5 separate regions of the Mus musculus genome follow, and regions 2, 3, 4 and 5 are each reported to be linked to region 1. Evidence: microRNA targets listed by miRTarBase, many of them from high-throughput screens and not tested one by one. Region 1 holds a microRNA gene; each other region holds the end of a gene's coding sequence.
What was found. Region 1 holds the annotated microRNA mmu-miR-1930-5p (ACCUCCAUAGUACCUGCAGCGU, at 2,275-2,296, opposite strand). A microRNA usually pairs through its seed, bases 2 to 8, with sites in the 3' UTR of a target mRNA and lowers its output. Matches are read on the target gene's strand: a 7mer-m8 pairs with bases 2 to 8, a 7mer-A1 pairs with bases 2 to 7 and ends in A, and an 8mer does both.

Region 2: the mRNA of Sh2d4a is a reported target of mmu-miR-1930-5p. Seed matches in the 3' UTR shown: 7mer-A1 at 2,695-2,701.
Region 3: the mRNA of Impg2 is a reported target of mmu-miR-1930-5p. Seed matches in the 3' UTR shown: 7mer-A1 at 3,466-3,472 and 7mer-A1 at 2,374-2,380.
Region 4: miRTarBase lists St3gal2 as a target of mmu-miR-1930-5p. Seed matches in the 3' UTR shown: 7mer-A1 at 2,126-2,132.
Region 5: the mRNA of Syn2 is a reported target of mmu-miR-1930-5p. The part of its 3' UTR that is shown has no 7-base or 8-base seed match.

What each region holds. Positions count from the first base shown.
Region 1 is chr10:77,639,411-77,643,531 of GRCm38, reverse strand. Mir1930 (microRNA 1930) reads right to left here and starts at 2,308; the gene lies at 2,225-2,308. Ube2g2 (ubiquitin-conjugating enzyme E2G 2) reads right to left here. Exons shown (of 6, transcript NM_019803.3): 4 at 1,954-2,072; 5 at 1-63.
Region 2 is chr8:68,346,047-68,350,167 of GRCm38, reverse strand. Sh2d4a (SH2 domain containing 4A) reads right to left here. Exons shown (of 9, transcript NM_028182.1): 8 at 3,995-4,121; 9 at 2,464-3,514. The coding sequence ends at 3,422. Among named protein-coding and RNA genes, the nearest start is that of 1700125H03Rik, 20 kb to the left of the region's middle.
Region 3 is chr16:56,270,179-56,274,299 of GRCm38, reverse strand. It overlaps Impg2 (interphotoreceptor matrix proteoglycan 2), which reads right to left. Exons shown (of 20, transcript NM_174876.3): 20 at 547-3,520. The coding sequence ends at 3,508. Among named protein-coding and RNA genes, the nearest start is that of Impg2, 68 kb to the right of the region's middle.
Region 4 is chr8:110,969,566-110,973,686 of GRCm38, reverse strand. It overlaps St3gal2 (ST3 beta-galactoside alpha-2,3-sialyltransferase 2), which reads right to left. Exons shown (of 7, transcript NM_009179.3): 6 at 4,024-4,121; 7 at 1,190-3,585. The coding sequence ends at 3,412. Among named protein-coding and RNA genes, the nearest start is that of Gm51551, 18 kb to the left of the region's middle.
Region 5 is chr6:115,280,887-115,285,007 of GRCm38, reverse strand. It overlaps Syn2 (synapsin II), which reads right to left. Exons shown (of 13, transcript NM_001111015.1): 13 at 2,382-3,920. The coding sequence ends at 3,785. Among named protein-coding and RNA genes, the nearest start is that of Timp4, 31 kb to the right of the region's middle.

The DNA of each region.
Region 1 (4,121 bases):
AACCCATGGGATCATCACCTGGAGCATGCAGGATGGAGATGCAGACTCTGCCATCAGGATAGACTGCAAAGATCATTGACAGTGTCACTGTGTGGGGAAGCTCCAGACAGAGGCCCAACTGTCCGCACAGCTGAGACAGGAGTTTCCTGTTGGCACAGATCCCAGATGCCTGCCAGCCACAGGCCAACCTGTCGTGGACTGATCAGGTCCTGTGGTCACGGACAAGGGGGCTTGGGACGAGGTCTGTCTAACACAGACCAGTTGCAACTGAATTCTACCTTATTACATATTTCTCTAGGCATTATCACTAAAAGGAGGAAGTGAAAGATGTATGGACAAATATTCCAAACTCAAGTTCCCAGCGAGTAAGATCCCTCACGGGGCCCTGCAGAGCAGGTGTTTAGACATCCCTAACTCAGGTGGCAGAGCCACCCCCACCACCGAAGTCCATGTCCGTGTAGCTAGAGCAGAAGCAAGACAACTGAACTCCTTAGGTGCGGAGAAAGGGGGGGCATGTGCACCAGAGCCACCCAGCTCAAAATTATTTTTACAAAATACAAAGACATCCATTTGGGCTGGAGAGGCAGCTCGGCCAGAGTTCAATTCCCAGCACCCACACGATGGCTCAGAATCATCCTTAACTCCAACTCAGGGGATCTGACTCAGTCTTCTGGCCTCTGTCTGTTATATAAAGACACACTTGCAGGCAAAAAACCCATACACATAAAATAAAATTGATATATACATATAAAAAAAACCCTGGTGTCAAATAAGTAAATGTTTTATTTTTACAAAATAGAATATCCTACTTGAATTTCAGCTCCATAGGCAAAAAGATCAGGATTATCAGTGGCAATGAAAAACATTTATAATGGGCGGTGGTGGTGCACACCTTTAATCCCAGCACTTGGGAGGCAGAGGCAGGCAAATTTCTGAGTTCGAGGCCAGCCTGGTCTACAGAGTGAGTTCCAGAATAGCCAAGGCTACATAGAAAAACCCTGTCTCGAAAAACCAAAAATAAATAAATAAATAATAAAAAAATAAAGAAAAAGAAAAACATTTATAAAAAGAAACATTATCCTAAATGCCATCATTGAAAATACACCACCACTGTCCATTTCTCTTAGGTAAGTTTGGCTTGGGCAAACGTGCATGGAAGTCAGCACTTGGGAGACAGACAGGAAGATCAGGAGTTCAAGGCCATCCTGAGTAATTTAAACTCTCCATCAAACCTCTCTTATGTATAATAGCTACTAGTAAAAGGAAGAAAGAAACCCCTACTCCCAATCAGGGCATAGTCGCGGACAGTATTATGGTCCCTTCCAGGCAGAGATGGAACTCCAGAGTACCAGTGAGTCCTCACCTACTTCCCACTCAACACAGCACAAGTGCTCCATTCCAAGCCTGAGTGACAGGAACTGTTTGTCTAGGAATTCCTAACATGTCCTCGGTGCCTACATGCAGGCTAACTACAGTGTGCCCTCTGCTCTGCGGTAGGACCACTGGGCTGTTTTGCTGTGTACATGTCTGTGTACGACAGCCTGGCTCCAGAGAGGCGAGCAGAGGGACCAGATTCCCAGGAGCCTCAGGTGTGAGCAACAATGTGGGTGCTGGGTCCTCTGCAAGAGCAGCAAGTGCTCTAAACCACTAAGCCACCTCTCTAGCCCAACTCCAAATGTCCGCCATTAAAATGACACTGTGACAAAGGCCAATGTAGGACACAAAGCACTCACGGCCTCAAAATTCTAGTAAGCCCATTAACACAGTGTTAAGTGTGTGCATTTCCCCTCTACATTAAGCTGACCTCAAAGCGGCAGTCCTGGTGCTCACACCGTAACTCACTGGTCACAGCTTAGAGTTGAGAGCCCTGTGCCTGCAGGCCCTCCCTGCCGTTCTTAATTAACAGTGTGGCTGGCACTCTGTTGCCTGTCAACCTCATTTAGACACACTTACTGTTGGGATGGAACATCTCACAGGTGAATCTCATCTTCGGAGGGCTCAAGGGGTAGTCAAGTGGGAAACTCAGGATGGCGGGAAAAACACCAAACTCAAAACAAGTGTCTTCAGGGCCCCTGAAAATCAGGAAAGAGACACATTTGCAATGCCAGCCACAACTCAGATGTGCAAGAGGGATACTACCACGGCCTAAAATGGTGCATGAACAATCTAAAGGACTGCTGCTTTCTCTCCCTGGAGAGTCCATCTCAGTCCTTTTCAGTCTGAGGCACGAACACAGCCACAGCCACAGTAACTGCACCATAGAGAAAGTCAAGCACGCTGCAGGTACTATGGAGGTGACCGTGGGCATGTGGTCCAGCTCCTATGAGGACTCAAGGTGTCAATTCTGGCAGACGGTAATCAAGAAGACTATGCACACAGATGAGGAGCTACGGAATATAGATCAAAGGACATTTTGAATTTTCAATTATGTCTAAGGTGTGACTTTTAGAACGGATAGGGCACACATGTGATCCTCAACTCATGCTCAATGCACAAGCAGCCTAAGGCCACAGCAGTCCCACCAGACCCTAAGACTCCAATCTGCACCATCCATGTCTTCTGTGTAAATAACAGAAATGGGCCAAGCCATCACAGAAGTCCTGCTCAAGTCCTAGAGACGGGGATGCTGACTGAGACCTGGCGGCAGGGACCTAGGAATGGGTGGGATGCTGCCAGACACCCACCCCTCCAGTCCAAACCTTACTAATGTGACCCACGTCAGCAGTTCAGGAGACCGTGGACACTGTTCACTATAAAAAGTCAGTAGGGCAGGAATCCTGGCTATAAGCTTCCTGCATTAGCATGGGTGAGATCATCTTGCAACAGCCAGCACAGCAGTAAAAACTGGCCCTGCACCACTCACACTGCCTGAGAGACCCAGGCCCCGCATCAACAGCAAAGTAGGCAGGGAGGCACACCTGACTCAACAGCCACACTGTCGAGGCAGGAACAGGAGGATCTAAAGTTGGAGACCAGCATAAGCAGCATAGAAAAAAATTTAAAAATTAAAATATATGTTTAAAAAATAAAGAACTCTGCTTCCCTGTCTAAGCAGATCTAAAACAGAAAGACCTTCCCACAGGATTTCCACAGACAGGATCCATGTTAGATCCACAGTTCCACAGAGATTGAAGATACCAAATGGAGAGGAAATAAGATATTGATTCAAAAGTCATCTTTACTTACTAGAAAAGACTTTCTAAACATACAAACTTATCTGGATGTAGTGAAGCCTAGTGTCTAGAGCAACCTGGTCTACACAAGATAAAATTGTCTCAAAACAAAACCAAAACCCAAGGCGAGCCAGGACGGGAGGGTGGCTCAGCTGTTGAGAAGGCACCCACTACTCTGCAGGGGACTTGAGTCTGAGTCTCAGCACTACAGTGGAGAGTTTGTAACCACTTTGGCTCTGGCTTCAGGAGGCTCCAACTCTGCTGGCAGCTGCGGGCACTTGCACTTAAGAGACACATGTATACACCCATACAGATGCACATATACATTTAAGAAATACAAAATAACTCTGGGGGAAAAGCAGCCCTGGCTGAGGTAAACAGCCGAGTCTGCAAAGTGCTCAAGAATCAGGACTCAACCCCAGGATCACATGTACACAGGCAGGGCAGCCACACTGGATTCTGACCCAGATACTGGGGAGGTGGAGCCAGGGGGGGAAATCACCTTGGCTCACTAGTCAGCCAGCCTCACCAAATCAGCAAACCCCAGGCCACTTGAGAGACCTCACCCCAAAAATCAAGCTAGACAGCTGTCCTGAGGCTGATGCCCCCACATACATGCATGTTGCACACACACACATGTACATGTATACGCACGCAACTCACACACAGATGAAATATCTCCATAAAAAAAAACAGCACTATAGCTGGGCAGTGGTGGCACACGTCTTTAATCCTAGCATTTGGGAAGTAGAGGCAGGCGGATTTCTGAGTTCAAGGCCAGCCTGTTCTACAGAGTGAGTTCCAGGGTAGCCAGGACTACACAGAGAAAACCTGTCTCACCCCCCCCACTCAAAAAACAAAAAACAAAAAAACAAAAACAAAAACAAAAAACAAACTGGCACTACAAATCTGCTTCAAGTTTTGATAGGTTATTTTAGAACAGTGATA
Region 2 (4,121 bases), not on the chromosome of region 1:
AAGGAAAAGAAAGAGAAAGAAAGAAGGAAAGAAAGAAAGAAAGAAAGAAAGAAAGAAAGGAAGGAAGGAAGAAAGGAAGAAAGAAAGAAAGAGAGAAAGAAAGAAAGAAAGAAAGAAAGAAAGAAAGAAAGAAAGAAAGAAAGAAGCAAACAAACAAGAATCAATGTGGGCAGGGACTAGCACTTGGCTTCAGCCCAACACACAAGTGTCCCTCAGAATTTCAAATATTCCTCCTGGCCATTGTATCACTGAGCACTAGACAGTTTATTCCTCTGCATGTTTAGAACCTGTAAGATAAAACACTACAGAAGTCAAGGGTACTCCTCTTGGTAATATATCAGGTTAACTGGATTGAGATGTTTCTTAATCTTCTTTCAGTCGCTAAACACAGATACATTTGGACACAGCCATAATTATTGCCTACAATACAATTTTAGGCAGAGGATGATGCTGGTATCTCAAATGTCTTCAAAATTATCAGTGATTAAAGGATACTTTTGACTTATTCCACTGAGTAACAGAACGCAGATCTGTATGCTTTCAGAGCTAGAGGAACAATAAAGGTCCTTCAGTTAAAAGACCATTCCTGTGCAGTAAAACTGAGGATTGAATAGTGTGGTGGTTGACTGTGCTTGGCCCATGGTCTTATTGGAATAGGTGTGGTCTTGTTGGAGGAAGTGTGTCACTATGCGGGTGGGCTTTGAGGCTTCTATGCTCAGGCTCTGCCAAATAAGGAATGAGAGCTTCCTCTCTGACTTACTGTGGAGGAAAGTGCCCTTCTGCCAGTGATTCCTGCCATGATGATAATAGACTGCACCTCTGAAACTGTAAGCCAGCCCCAGTAAAGTGTTGTCCTTTATAAGAGTTGCCATCGTCATGATGTCTCTTCACAGAAGTGAAGAAACCCAAACTAAGACGGATAGTGTGATGCTTCATCTTGTCAATTTGATTGGATTTAGGTTCGCTGTGGGAAAACACCTCTGGATATGCTTGTGAAAGTGTTTCCAGAAGGAATTAGCCAAAGAGGGAAACCCTACCCTGAATGTGGGCAATGCTATTCCATGGGCTGGGATCGCAGACTGAATAAAAAGGAGAGAGCTGTCATCTCTCTCTACTTCCTAAATATGGGTTCTATGTGACTAGCTGCCGCACCACCTCCCACGGTCCCTTCCCATGTGATGGACCACGAGTTCACACCATGAGCCAAAGTCAACCCTTCCTTCCTTAAGTTGCTTTTGTCAGGTACTTTTGTCACTGCAGTGAGGAAAGTAACTAACATAGTTAGGTAAAGTGCCTATTCAAAATAATTAGGGAAAAGTGGAGAGAGATGGGAACAGCTCAGAGATTCTGAGCCATGTTACAACAAAGTGAAATGGCAGAGACTCATAGAAATTTAACAATACAATGGAATATTTCAAGAAGCAATTGACTGAGTGCACATTAGCCTCTACTTTGGTACACTGTGTTTGGAATGAGTGAGTCACACAAAGGACAGACTGCAGTGCCATCTACATTAGTTAAAAGACAAAGTAAAAAGAAATGCTTAGCTATGGGCAAAGTAACTTCCTCCCAGGCAAAAGTGACTCACAGATGCCCTCCCTGCTCAGCAGAGGTTGGCCTCCCCTCACTGAGGCTGGTCTAGGAATGGATTTAGAGGTTTTGATTTAAGGATGATGCAGGTAGGAGATTACTTGCTGAATAAATCTGTGTCCCAGGGCTAGCCAGCATTACTCGGGGTCTTATTCCTATATCCTACTTTTATTTCCTCTTGAGGGTGCACACTGTGCAGCAAGAAACAAATCCATGCAACTCGTGCAGGACACATGGTTACATAAACTATTGCACTAGTTTTCTGAGGCTGCTGTAAAAAGTTGCCATCTATTCGGTGATTTCGAGGTTTATTATCTCACATTTCTAAATCCCTGAAGGCTTAAATAAAGATGCAAATGAACAAAGCCATGCTTCCTAATAGAGTCCTAGGGAGAGTCTGGGCCTGGGCCGTACTGCCTTTCATAATCCCCGCCATACCCTGCCCTACACCACTCTACTCTCTGTTTCTGTGGTCCTTTAACCTCCATCCTCATGTTTGTCTTTTTTCTTTATCTTTCTCCCTTATACAGATGCAACTCATTAGATTTGGAGCCTATCTTACTTATCTTTTCTGCACAGATCCTATTTCTCTATCAGTTCATACTCAGATACAGAAGGGTCAGGACTTCATGTATATTTGGTGTGGGACACAATTCATCCCTCAATAGGTGGTATCCAAACCACTCACTTATTCAGTTCTTCTCTTGGAATCAGGACCACACAAGTCCTTACATGGCCACGCACAGTATCTTTTATATTTACTTTCAGATGGGGGGGGGGGGGAGTAGAGAAGAATGAAGAAACAAACCCTAAGATTACTCACGCGTCTTAGTTAGGGTTTCCAATGCTGTGAAGAGACACCATGACCAAGGCAACTCTTTAAAGAAAAACATTTAATTGGGGCTGGCTTACAGCTTCAGAGTTTCAGTCCTTTATAATCAAGGCAGGAGCGCGGCATTTTCCAGACAGGAATGGCAGAGGAGGAGCTGAGAGTTCTGCATCTTCTTCCGAAGGGAACCAGAAGACTGAATCTCTCAGGCAGCTAGGAGGAGGGTCTCAAAGCCCACCCCCACAGTGACACACTTCTTCCAACAAAGCCACACCTCCTCCAACAAGGCCACACCTCCTAATACTACCACTCCCTGTGGGCCAAGCATATTCAAACCATCACACTCAGGGTTACTGTCACAATAAAACCTTTGGTTGGTTGGTTGGTTTTTTTCATATGTGGTAAGTCTCTCATCTCAAGTTTTGAAACTTGTCTTTCAATTTACACTTGGGTCTTTCTCTTCTGTCTTCTATAACCTCACTCCAACAGACACAGAAAGGGTGGTCTTTTGAAGATAATCTCATCCCTCAGTGGGGACATTTTTCCACCATTCTAAAAGCAAGATAAAAATTTATACACACAGAATACTGAGACCTTTGAGTGAATAACAAAAAGGGAGTGTGTAGATCATGAAATTGTTCACTTGTTCTTTTAAAATAACATCTTAATTGCTAAAAAGATTTCAGTGTACCCTTGTCCTTTTTATCTTATATACATCATCATGGTCATATCCTTCAAGGTCCTATCCTTCATATTAGGATGTTGCAAATGTGGGTACCTTCCCCCTTTTCCTTTCAGAATGAGGATGAGAGAGAGGTAACACCCCCTTAAACTGAATCCAGCATTTATGCAGAAGAGAGGTTTCAATGAAGACCTCAGACGTTGTTCACTGTTGGCTCTGTCACAGAGAGATTTTGGCATCACACACAAATGTCCATCTCAGAGGTGTCTGTCCAGAGGGGAAACCAGCTGGAAGTTGGAGGCTGATCTGGATGAGAGTTGTCACTGGAAGAGCTCCAGGTAGTCGGGCAGCTTGTCTTGTTGACCACAGGGGTACAGAAGGAGTTCCTTCCCCAGAGAGGTTATGGGCTCCTCCTGTCAATCAAAGCACAGGGCCATGAGGCAGCTATGTGGTAGACGTTCATGCTGCTCCTTAGGGGAGATCACTCCTCTACCCTGGGTTTATGCATACCTAGATTGGCTTATGACAATACTAAAAGAGATTTCCCTCCTTTCAGTTTCCCTGTCCTACTGAAGCCCAAGTTCTAGCATAGGAACACCCTCAGATATGCTCAGAATATACATCTCTAGTATTCTCAGCTCCCGTGGGATATCTCTGAGTATGCCAGGTGGATATGAGAAAGGAAATACAATTAAAACCCCTTGTTACCAGCAGAAATTATGTGCTACCACCATCCCTTTGCTCAAGGGTACTTGAGCTATATCCCTAGTCAGGCCTTTCTTTGTTATATATTTATTTTCTTTGTTTGTTTCTTTGTTATATATCTATATTCTTTGTTATATATCTATAGGACAATAATTCCTAGTGTGAATTAAACATATGATTGGATTCACCTTGTGATATTCCACCAAATCTGCCAGTGTAGCATGCTGCAGCTGGTCCACACCCAGGAAGCTGTAAGAGTTGGCAGATGCATCTATAAGGAAATGTTTGCAGCCTTCCTCAGACAGGTAGGACAGG
Region 3 (4,121 bases), not on the chromosome of region 1:
TTAAAATATTCTCATGTCCTCAGACCAGCAAGGCACTATGATGCAAAGACAAAGGAGGAAAAGCCTGCTCACTGAGGCTACTGAATGCCAACACATAGCACACTGTTTTAACTGTTGATTTCCCCCTGCCTCTCCCATGTGGCCATATTCGCATCTCCTGTTCTCTTTAAACAGGTCACCAACTGCTCCTCTCCTTGAAAGACTGGCATCTAGCCAGCCCACCTAATCTCTCCTTAGCCACTCACCACTCTTCATTCTGTTGATGTGTTAAGGATAGGAGGGCAAACTGAAAGTGTTTAATAAAACTCAACAGAAGTCAAATCACCACCCATCTCAGTGTCATTAACTATCAACACAACTCAGACAGCAACTGGGCTCCATCTTCACCCATGTCTGATTCTCCTAAATCCTCACTCCACTAAGATCAAAGAATCATTTTCATCTCCACACAACGTTCACACACAGGTATCTTTGAATGGTGCTTGTGATTCAACTGTTGCTAAGAGATGGGATTGTTTTTCTAACTGACAAGCAAAAGGCAAGTTCTTGAAAGACATGTTTATTACTAATGGATACATCACAGTATGCATGTGAATCGAAGGATCCTTATACATACATAAAGACTTAAATTTGTATTTCTAATCAACTAATATTATGACTAGAAATGTTCAAGAGAGTAGTATAGTAAATTGACTTTGTTTGACCCCACATTGGATAAACTGCCATAAATTAAATAAAAAAGAATAGCATGCCATTAACCATACTCCATATTAAGTATATATTAGGATATATACATTACTGCTTAGGAATCATCAAGTAGTCCAGACATATATTTATACATGTAGTCTCTTTTTTTTTACATGTAGTCTCTTATACCATGATTTTTCCCCCAATTAAGCCCTTAATTAATTAAATACAAGAGAAAAAATCAGGATTACTAATCATTTGGCCTGAGCTGTAATAGTAACTATGTAGTTGAGAGACGTGTTTTAGTCAGTGGCTTAGTATCCAGTGGGGAGTGGCTTCACTTGTCTCTTGTTGACTTATTAGAACAGTCTACACATTACAAAATGCATGAATCAAAGAAATTTCCAGGTAATTTTTTTTTTACATCACCAACTATGTTATAATATCCTCCCATCTCCCCACCTCTGGGCAGGGTACTTTGCGTACACAATGCTCTCAGTTTAAGGACTGTAACCTTTACATCATTTTTCTTCATTGATCACACACTAGGGAATAGAATGATCGAGAATCCTGATTCACTGCAGCTGGGTTACTAATGAAGGCTGGCCCCACCTATCTTTACTTGGAATCATTGGAAACATTTGAGAGGGTGGGGGGAAACTGACCCACATTTTTCTTGGCTAAAACTTCCCAATTTAATAAATGTAAGTTAGTCTCCTAAATCACTGTTTTCTTCTAAGTAAGTTGTCTATTCTTCCAACTCCAGTTTTTGCTGACCTCATAACTATGAAACTTACAGTCCCTGATTTAAGAAAAATAAATGAACCAGGTATTTTATCCTGCTGCCATTTTATACTTGGTCTGAAATAACTAATGAACTTCAAGAGATTTGTTGCAAACATGAAGGTGTCCTCAGAAATAGCTTGAATTAACAATCATCTAGTGCCTATGTATCTTTAAACTATTCATCATGATTAATTCGCCTTTACAGCCTATCACCCAAATTATCCATTCAAAATAACCATAGGTAAAAAGAGAAAAACTTCCATTTTTAACTTCTATTTATAAAGTATAGATTCACAATTTTAAAAATGTCCTGTTATGGTAGGTGGGATTTCACCTAGACAACAAGCTTTAGACAAAGAAGCAACAAATGATATCACTGACATTATGTGAGGTAGGTATGTGCTGTTTTCAAAATTCCTACACCAGGAACTACAGTAGGTCCTAGAATTGTCCACTACACTGTCCTACCTCAGAAGCAGTCAGGGAACATATCTAAGTAATAACTTTGCCTGTCAGCCCATCTAAAAACCAGAGGGTCTGTCCTGGTATTTACCTAACACTCAGACCCTTACAGCCCCATAATTACTTTTGCATAAGAAAAATAGAAACCATGAAAACTTCACGCATGGGTACTATTCCTGAAAGCTTAAAGAATAGGGTATTATAATCATTTGCTTTCTCTGTTATCACTAAGCAAAAGCACCTTTGAGAAGGTATGGTGGTGTAAATATGTTTGGCCCAGGGAGTGGCACTATTTGAAAGTATGGCCTTGTTGGAGTAGGTGTGGCCTTGTTAGAGTAGGTGTGTCACTGTGGGCATGTGTTTTAAGACCCTCATCCTAGCTGCCTGAAAGCTAGTCTGCTCCTGGCTTCCTTTAGATGAAGATGAAGAACTCTCAGCTCCTCCAGTGCCTTGACTGCCTGGATGCTGCCATGCTTCCAGCTTTGATGATAATGGACTGAACCTCAATCTACAAGCCAGCCTCGATTAAATGTTGTCCTTAAAAGAGTTGCCTTGGTCACAACAATGGAAACCCTAACTAGGACAGAAAGAAAGAGTTTATTTGGCTTATAGGTTATAGTCTACCATAGAGAGAAGCCAAGACAGGAGTTTGAAGAAGAAACCACAAAGGAAAGTGCTTATTGGCTGGCTTCTTGTAGCTGGCTTTACCTTTCTTTTGCAACTTAACTCCCCAAACCCCTGCCTAAGGATAGTACCACCCATAGTGAGCTGGGCCTTTCTACATCAATTAATAATCAAGAAAAAGGCCCACTGGTATGTCCACAAGCCAAGCTGATGAAAATAATTCCTCAATTTGCTTCCTCTTAAGGGTGCCTAATTGAGGACCAAACTGTGGCAAATATTGACATAACTAATTTAAGAGCATTGTAGTCTTGATCTATGGGCTCAAGAAGCTCAAGAACAGATAGAAGCAAGCATCAAACATAAACAAAATATACTGCACCTAAAGATTGCCTGACTCAGCAATCTGTTCCAAAAGCCTAATTTTTATTTAGATGAGTGTTTGAGTTTAAACTATATTAAAATTACTTCAAAGCTTCCTCTATCTCATTCGACTTTAACAAGTATGTCACAAAACAGTCGCATTCTAAGCTTTACTCATTAGTCTCACTTTATGTTCTTACTAGAAAGCCTGGGCCATAGTTCTTAGAGATGCTCTCAAAAAGTCAGAGTCAGAGGCACTGCAGCCCCAACTCCAAGGTCTGGCTTTAAGCTTTTGGTTTGGTTCTGTTTTATTTGTTTGCTTTTAGAATATGTTACAAAATCAGAGTTCACACCACTTTAATTTTCTTTTGACACATCTCTTAATGTAGAAATAAAATACATCACTTATTTTTTTTTTGCTCCATTCCAAAAAATTAAGCTGCAGTGTTGGAATGAGAAGTGCGTCCCATGTTTCCTTATTTATTCTTCAATACAAACTCTTCTTCTGGATTAGTTAAACAGCAGAGAGAACAAGCCTTCTCCATCTCCTCCAAGCTTCTGATTGGTGTCAAGAATCAGGCATTTAAGTTAAAGCTCCTCCCTACCATGAGAAAATAAAGGGCAATTAGCTGGGAAAGCAATGATGTAGTCAAATACATTTGTAGCATAGTGCATAACCAAGCTGCATGCCAAAGTCACCCACATGTAAGTTTTCTTTAGTTTTCTTTACAGATTCTTTATACTCTTTTAAAATTTTTTAATCCCCTACAAATGCCACATGTTTTTACTGAATCCTAAATTAAACCCATTAACATATTGTGGAGCTTTTTAGTAGCTAGAAACTCCTAAGTGGAGACTGCAACCCCTGTTTTGATCATGTGCCTGAATGTTTTCAAGGCTGCCTGCTCCCAGTGACCTACACTGAGTTTCCTTTTTTTTAATCTTTAACAATTTCATTCACTGTGTAATGTGTTTTAATCATTCTCTCTCTCTCTCTCTCTCTCTCTCTCTCTCTCTCTCTCTCTCACACACACACACACACACACACACACACACCCCTCTTATCCCCTTCTACCCCCACCAAACCCCTTCTTCACAGCAGCCCCAAAACCCAGCATCTTCATGCTTTTTTCTGTTTCTGTACCACTGAGCTGAGCTACAGTTGCCTGTAAGAGCGTGAGTGGAAGGTTCTTTACTGGAAT
Region 4 (4,121 bases), not on the chromosome of region 1:
AGAAGGGCAAGAGAAGTGAGAAGGCACAAAACAAGATGGAGCAATAGTTACTACCTGCACTCACCTAAATGGTGACACTGAAAGTGAACATCTCTTAAAAACAAGGCAGAAAGGGCTGGAGAGAGCTCAGTGCCTGACACCAGTAGTTGCTCTTCCAGAGGGTCTGGGGTCAAGTCCCAGCACTCACATGGCAGCCCAGAACTGTAACTTCAGTTTCAGGGGATCTGACACATGCAGGCAAAACACCAACACATGTAAAGTTTTAAAAGGGAGGGGGGTGGGGGCTACTGAGATGGCCCCAGCCCCCCTCCCTTTTAAATGGTTAAGAGCAGTGACTGCTCTTCTGAAGGTCCTGAGTTCAATTCCCAGCAACCACATGGTGGCTCACCACCATCTGTAATGACATACCCTCTTCTGGTGTGTCTGATGACAGTTACAGTGTACCTACATATAAATAAATCTCTAAGAAAAAGAAAAAGGGAGGGGGTGGGATGGCACACTCCAGCACTTTCAGAGCAAAGGCAGAAAGGCCTCTGGTTTTGAGGCCAGCCTAGTCTGCAAAGCGAAACCCTGTCTCAAAAAAGCAAAATTAAAGCCACATGGCAGGCCATCTCTGGTCTAAGAATGGAGTAAAAACAGCTCATCCCAGACCATTGCTGTTTCTACCCAGCTACCCTCGTGCAATCCTGATAGGTTTTATGAACATAAAACTCTACATGCTGCCTTCCACATTGGTCTCCTATCTATTTTAACAGAACAGCCCTGCCCCAGTCTCAGAAACCATAATCACAGAAGAGTTAAACGACCAGAGGACAAAACTTATGTATCTGATGTCTGTCAGTTTTTTTTGTTAAATAGCATATACCCTGGAACCCACGAGGCAGAGCTGATGGATCTCCTAGGAATTTGAGACCAGCCTGGTCTACAGAGCATAGGTACAAGACAGCTGCTCTCTCAGAAAATCAACACTAGTTTAGTGTACCTCCTCAGCCTCGCTAAGACTGCAGGGATGAATCACAGCAGCTGGGGTGGGGGAAGGTAATCCATCTGTACTGTGATGATGCACACCTGTAGTCCCGACACTTGGGAGGCAGAGGCAGGAGGATTTCTGAGTTCCAGACCAGCCTGGGCTACACAGAGAAACCTTGTCTTGAAAAGACAAGAAGTACTACTTACTACCTGTGGGTTTGGTTTTTTTTTTTTTTTAATTTAGTTCTAAGATCCATACGACCTATTTTAGTGAGTAGTTTAAGGTGCAGACCCAACATTCCCCCCTGTTTTCCAGTTACCCTACTGAAGTTTAAGCATTTATCCTTAGTGACAGGCAAAACTCAGAGAGGCACTATCTGCCCTCCGCAGCTCTCCCAGAGAACTCTTCCTTTGCATAGCACTTTGTACTGGCAACAAGCTGTGGGCCACACAGCACGATTGGGCTAAGCAGAAAAATGTCAGAACTCGTGAGAGAACTCACTAGAGATTTTTTGCTCCTTTTTTTCCCCCTTAAGAAAGGTCTCATGTAGCCCAGGTTAGTTTGAAAGTTACCATGTAGCTGAGGCTAGCCTTTAACTTCTTTTCCTGCCCCTCAGCCTCTCAACTGCTAGGATTAAGGGCACATGCCACCATGCCTGACATAATAAGTTGATTTTTTTTTTTAAACCATAATACTCAGAGTCCTTAGGGGGGACTTCAGTGAACAGAGCCCATGAACTAGACTCCTCAGCCGTAAGAGGGTATCAGAGTTGTGTTGTTCTCCCAAACACCCTTACCTCCTTAGACACCTAGGATGGTGCAGTTCAGAACAGATGAGTGACTCTATGGGCTTTGTTCTTTTTAATTCAGGGAAAGAAACGGAAGGGAAAGTTGAATGTTTAAATAACTCTAGAAGAAAAAGATGTAGATTCTGGGACCTACCTTTTCTAGAATGGGGATTCATGATTTAAACAAAACAAAGGGAAGAAAAATAAATTACTCTTCTCAATACTGTTTGGCATAATTGCATTGCTTTCCCGTTTCTCATCACAGCAGCTTGAGAGCAGAGATGAGACAGGCAAAAACTGGAACGGTGACTATGTGCGATGGTTCGAGCCCTGAGAGGTTCTGCTATACGCCCCTCCCTTTTTTTTTTTCCTCCACCCGTGCTTTTGAAACTGGGAAGGAACAGACTCGAGCAAAGTTCTCCATGTATTAGTTTTTAGGGTTGTTGCCTCATCCCAAACCTCTTAACACTCTCCCTTATGTGTGACTGTCCCCCAACCAGGCTGCTTGGTAATGTGAACTCATTAAGAATGGGAAATATTTATGTGGACGCTGCAGCAGGGACGTGTTTTCTGCGGCCTGAGACATTCACTGAAGCCCTTTCTCCCAGTGAACCTCAACTGTGACCAAGTCATGCAAGTAGCTTCCAGTTGTAACCCCTGATTCTTGACTGAGCGGCCCTTCTGGAGCTGGAGAGTAGGTTAGAACAGGCGAGTAAGCAGGGTAAAGGTGCGGACAGGAGGAGGCATGCAGGGCAGCCACCAATCCGCTCCTCCCCAGCAAAGCTCCGAGCCATCTGCGCGAGGCCCCGCAAACAATTGTCAAGCAATCTTGGTTGGATCGCCATCCCTGGCAGCTTGAGGGTAACTAAAGCATGAGTCCAAAGCAAATCCTACCCCCAAGCAAGAGGCTGCCTGCTCCTCTTTGGGGTGACAATGAAAGAAAACGGTACATGCTCAGGGATCTCCTTTCCAGCCAACTGTCCAACCGTGTTGCTCTCTCGCGCCTTAGGGCTAAAGACACGGGTCACGTGTGGGAGAGCAAAAGCAGCCGAGTCAGGGTGGTCTCACTTTGTCTCCGAATCAACAGGTGAGCTGGAGAGGAGGCCCAGGACCTAAGGACAGACGCTGAGAAGGTGGTAGGAGACAGGAGTGAGGGCACATGTGAGAGAAGCACCTTGCATGTGACCCGGTGAAGCTTCCTACCCGTTCCTGACACTAGTGAGGCCCTAGGGAGATCAACCCAACAGGGGGTGAATTCAACCCCCTACTACCTGGTGCGCCACGGAAAGCCCTGGAGAGTGTCTCACCGGAACCACATTTCTTTGGATGGCTTCACTCACCCACCCGGCCTAAGCTGGAAATGAGCAGTTCAAGGCGCTCCTGCCCAGCCCCAGACCCGCCTCTTAAAAAGCATCAAAATTCTTATCCAAAGCAGGTTTAGGGGAGGGGGTCGAGGCCCGCCGCCTCCCAAGGCCATGATTGGTGGAGACGGCGGCGCCGGAAATTCTCCTTGAGTTGCGTGATTGGCTAAGAAAGAAGCTCCTCCCAACTGCAGCACTGATTGGTTGCTGGGGACGGCGCAGTCTGATTGGTGGGCTGCAACCGGCGCTTGCCGGACCCAGAAGTGACTGGTTCTGAAGGCGCTCAGGGCCGCTCAGTTCCCTCGGTAGACCTCGATCTTGCTGGCCTTGGCCAGCATGTCGATGATGTGGGCTTCGAAGTCGGCGTCATGCACGCCTGTCTTCCGGAACTCGCCCGCGTACCGGTTGTTCTCCCAGTAGTGGTGCCAGTTGCCTCGACTGTCGGCCCCGAACCCATACACGTTCACCTGTGAGGAGGGTGGCACAGGGGTCACTGGGAGTCGGGGGCGTGGTTGGGGACACCCAGGCCTGACATAAGGGCACTGACTCAGAGGGGACTTCTGTCTCTTTCTCATTTGTGTTTCGCTTTTTCACGACTGGGTCTTATGTAGCCCAGGTTGGCCTCAAACGCTGCTCCTGTCTCAAACTCTCCGTATCTGATTACAGGTGCCACCATGACCCTGCTAAAAATGTGCCTTTTAAATGAAGTAGTTTTGTTAGTAAATCTTAAAAGGTAATGACGATGGGAAATGCAAAAATATTGTTTATAGGAATAACAGATATGAAAAAACATGGTTTCTGTTTACAAAAACTACTTCCCGGGAACCACAGCTAAGATGGGGAAAGGGCTGTTTCCTCTGTTTATGGTTCTCCTAATTCTGCTCTAGACAACACCGACTGCCTACCTCATCACACACATGTAGTGCAAAGAAGAGCACCAGCATTCCTGTGGAAGGGTAGCGCCCGTGGTGCTCGGTCCACCTGTCGTGAATGTACTTGAAGA
Region 5 (4,121 bases), not on the chromosome of region 1:
AAATGATCCCCCACAGTGGTAGTGCCCATACAGGCTCCCACTAGCGATGTGTATGTGTAGAGTTTTCCTACATTCTCATTGATAACTATCAAGCTGAGTTTTCCAAGCTGACACGGTGACTGCATTCCTTAAGACAGTACACATCTCTCCTATTGGCTGTGGACTTTGTGAGTGCAGAAACCTTCGTTAGCTCAGTTTTATGATCTTCCCATGAAATTTGTTGAGCTTAGTAAATACACAATAAAGAATTATCAACAAGTACATAATGGACAGAATTTATTCACTTTGATCCAGGAGATGGGAAGCCCCGTGAAGACAGATGAATCTTTCTGTTTACTTATCTGGGCTGAGAACTGTCAGAGGAAGCCCCATAAGCTAGAGTAGATCTGATCTGCAAGACAGGCAGAGTTGGCCTACAGACCAAAAGCTTTTGGCCCAAGTTTTTTCACACTACTCACTGGGTGTTTGACTATTGTGAGGTACTACTTTCCAAGTCTCTGGAACCATCTTAATTAAGTACCAAGAGGTTTACTTCTCAATGGCCCCACCCCTGGTCCAGATTACTAGAGTCTAGGTAGAATCCCTGTGTTCCTTGGACTAGGGTACTGCATGACTATGGTAAACGCCTTCCCTTTCTGTCACCCCAACAGTCCCTCCCGGGTGACTCATTTTCTAAATAAGCTACTTGTGGTTTGGGTTTGACATCACATGTGGAAGAATGAGTAACATTTTAGGAGTCAGAATTATATTTGATCAGAATAAGACCCACAGTGCATGTTACTCATAGTTTTAAGCCAAGGGGTCAACACTGGTAATTTGTCCCCCAAGCTCTCATCCAGCCAAGTTTGTGTATACTGTATTATATGATCACACTATGAAAATTTGAGAAAATGATTTCTTATAGACCATGCAAGATTAAATAAAATACAGCAAAGTGATGAGGGGCATGTGTTCTACTGTACTGTGGCTTGGCTTGCTCACTGTAGTGTGCATTCACATGTGTGTGAACACACGTGGAAGTCTGAGGTTGACTCTAGATGTCCTTGATTGCTCACCACCTTCTAGTTTGAGACTGGGTCTCTGGCTGAATGTAGAACTCACTGTCTCAGCTAGTAGTTTGCTCCGGAGACTCCCTGTCTGTGCCTCCCACACACTAGGTTTACAGACAGGCTCCCATACCCACCTGGCTGTTTTCTCGGTGAGTCTGAGGATCCAAACTTTGTTCTTCATACTTGTGCAGCAGGTACTTTACCTGAGGAACCATATTCTGACCCCCAATTATTTGGGTTTAAATCTTACTTGTACAACTTGACCAACTGGATAACCTTAAACAAGTAATTGGGGTTTTCTTCAATTTCTTCATGTGTAAAATTATAATAGTACTTATCCCATAGGAGATCAATAAGTTGCTTTAAGTGCTTAGAATTATGCTTAGTAAGCTCTGGATATGTTAGTAAACATGTCTTTGACTCCATCACGACGTCTACACATAGGGTAAACGCTCAATCCATGTCACTAAAGAAGCACGTTGTGTTGCGGTGTATTTGGAACCAGAGGGAGAGAAGCATGGATAAGTGGAAGACTCTTGTCAGTAAAGAGCTTCAGAACAGGCTACCTCAAAATATGCCACGCTGGGCACGCTGATTATTTTGAGCCAAAGGCAGTGGGCACTGAGAGGTACAGGGGGAGTTCTCTGCTCTCCCTTTGTGCCTGAAACAGGACCTAAAACTCTCATGAAGAAGATGTTCCCTCACCAACCTATACAATAAGAACATTTTTACAACCAGAGACTAGAGATTAACATGGAAATGCGTTTATACAAACAAAATCTTAAGATGTGTGACCGTCTCCTTCACCATTTTCCCATGTGCATCCTAATTCCTTTCCCACAGTTCACTAGCTTTACACCAGACCCCTTTGTAGTGTCACATCTTCAAGTTGTCATTCTTCGAATCTTCACTTTCCTTATAAAGACACACAAGTAGGTATAAAAACAGAATGCATATGCAGGCCTGGGCAGGCAGAGGTATAGTGTTTGCCTCGCATGAGTGAGACTCTGAGACCCTGGGTTCCAACCTCAGCAGAAAGAGAGGGGAGGCAGATTGATTGATTCTCCCTATTGCCCTTCGTTTAGCTCTCTGTAGGTGTGTGTACTGTGCAAGGAAGGATGGAGTGATAGCACTCATCAGGTGCCATTCAATGGGAGATTGTGGGGATCCTACTTCTCCCCTTACCTGTCTCAGTCCTCAGACCCTAAAAACACAGGATAAATGTGACTCAGAAAAGAGACCTGGTACCAGAGAAATTCATTCTCTGCCCTCCTGGAATCCCTGCTCATGACCATGAGCAGAGACAGAAATTGGTGTCAGACAGTGACATTTCAAGGGGTGTTGACTTGTTGAGTTTATATCACATGGTATCTATCACACGCAGGGAATTACATAGCTAAGATGTTTACACACTGACTGTTTTTCCTCAAACATATGCAAATGTGGAACTTATCCTCAGAGAACCATGAAGAAGTTGTCGGAGTAAAATCCCTCAGAGCCCACCCAGCCGCAGGCCTTTAGGATGCCTGAACTACGTACGACAGCTGTAGGACCAAATTCATCAGAACGGGTTGCTTCTTTTGTTGGCTGTACCTTGTGGGCTTTAGCTGAGAATCTTGATGAAAGATGGGAAGATGGGTCTAACTTGGTTGATATACAGGCAGGGGTGTTGTGAATATTGGAGTCTGTGAATTGAATCAAATGGGTAGAAATGCCAAGCTGTTGGCAGTCAAACAGTTCTAGAAGAGACAGATCCACTGGGGAGCTTGTTGGGAGCATCAGGATGTGATATTCAAGGTACAGACACATTCTTAACACAGACGTGCGCACCTGCCATCACATGCACACACACGGCATCGGCAACTTTACCCTCCTGGACTTTTAACTACCTAGTCACAAACACACCTGCATGCCCACGTATGCTCTCATCTTAGATGGGGGAACCTCAGGGCTGAATCAAATGCTGGTTAAAGCTGCTGCTTTTATTACACCAAGGTCTTGACATTCATAAGGTGAGGAACACAAAGGTTGGTGGACTGCTGTTATAGCGGCATGCATTCTCCTCTACAGTACAGCTCTGAAAGGTAAAGGTAACTGCTGCTCACACAACAGAACTGCTCTCCAGAGGGGAGAGAGGAGACAGTGCGGGGAGGCCTTGTTCTCTTGTTTCAACAGACACAAGGAACTTCACCTCCACAGCAGTCTAGGGGAGTGCAGGGTCAGGCGAGTGTGCTTTCAACAGGGACCACAGGAGATCCAGCTTTGGGAGAAGTTCCTAAAACTTAGAGCCAACAGTACTTGGAAGGTAAGAACATACTTCCCACAGGTAGCACTGACTACTAGGACATGCTGAGCTCTGTTTCCGAGCTGGGCTAAGCTGCCAGGAGTCCTACGTTACAGAGATCCTGGCTTCACAGGGAAGAGTAAGACACGATGGCTCTGTCACAATAAGGCCACTAAATTCACAGCAATGATGACTTCAGAATAAAGCTCTTAAAGACTACAGGGAAAGAGCCCTTTCCTCTCCTGTCAGGCCTTTCTCAGGGTAGGTACCTGCCCTGAGACTATCACATGGTCATTTCTGGGCTGCACAAATTACTGAGCACAAAGGAACAGAGGAAGGGGCCACACATGTCAAGTCATGGGACATCGCCACCAAACATGGCAGACTGCTGTTGGTGAATGTCTTAGATGCCTTTCCTGGTTGGGCCGGATGCCCTCGTGTATCTGAAGAGCTAATCTGAAAAGAGGCTGGCAAAGGACTTCCTCAAGCTCCGGATGGTCTCCGCTTTGGCTTCATCTTCATTGGCTGAAGACCGGAAGAAGGAGGACTCAGAGAAGCTGAACGCATTTGTCAGGGACTGCGACTTGCTTGAAGATAAAAACCAGAGAGAAGGTGAGGAGGGTGTTTCTAGTGAGGCAGTGAAGGGCTGTGACATGAGGGTATTACAACAAGTACTCCCCATCCCCTCCCCAGGGAGAACAGGGTAGCAGGAGGTGGTGGGGAGGGCTGCACTAGGCACTGGGAAGTCCTTCACTACTTCCTCCTTCCTCACCTTCAGTGTGGATGAA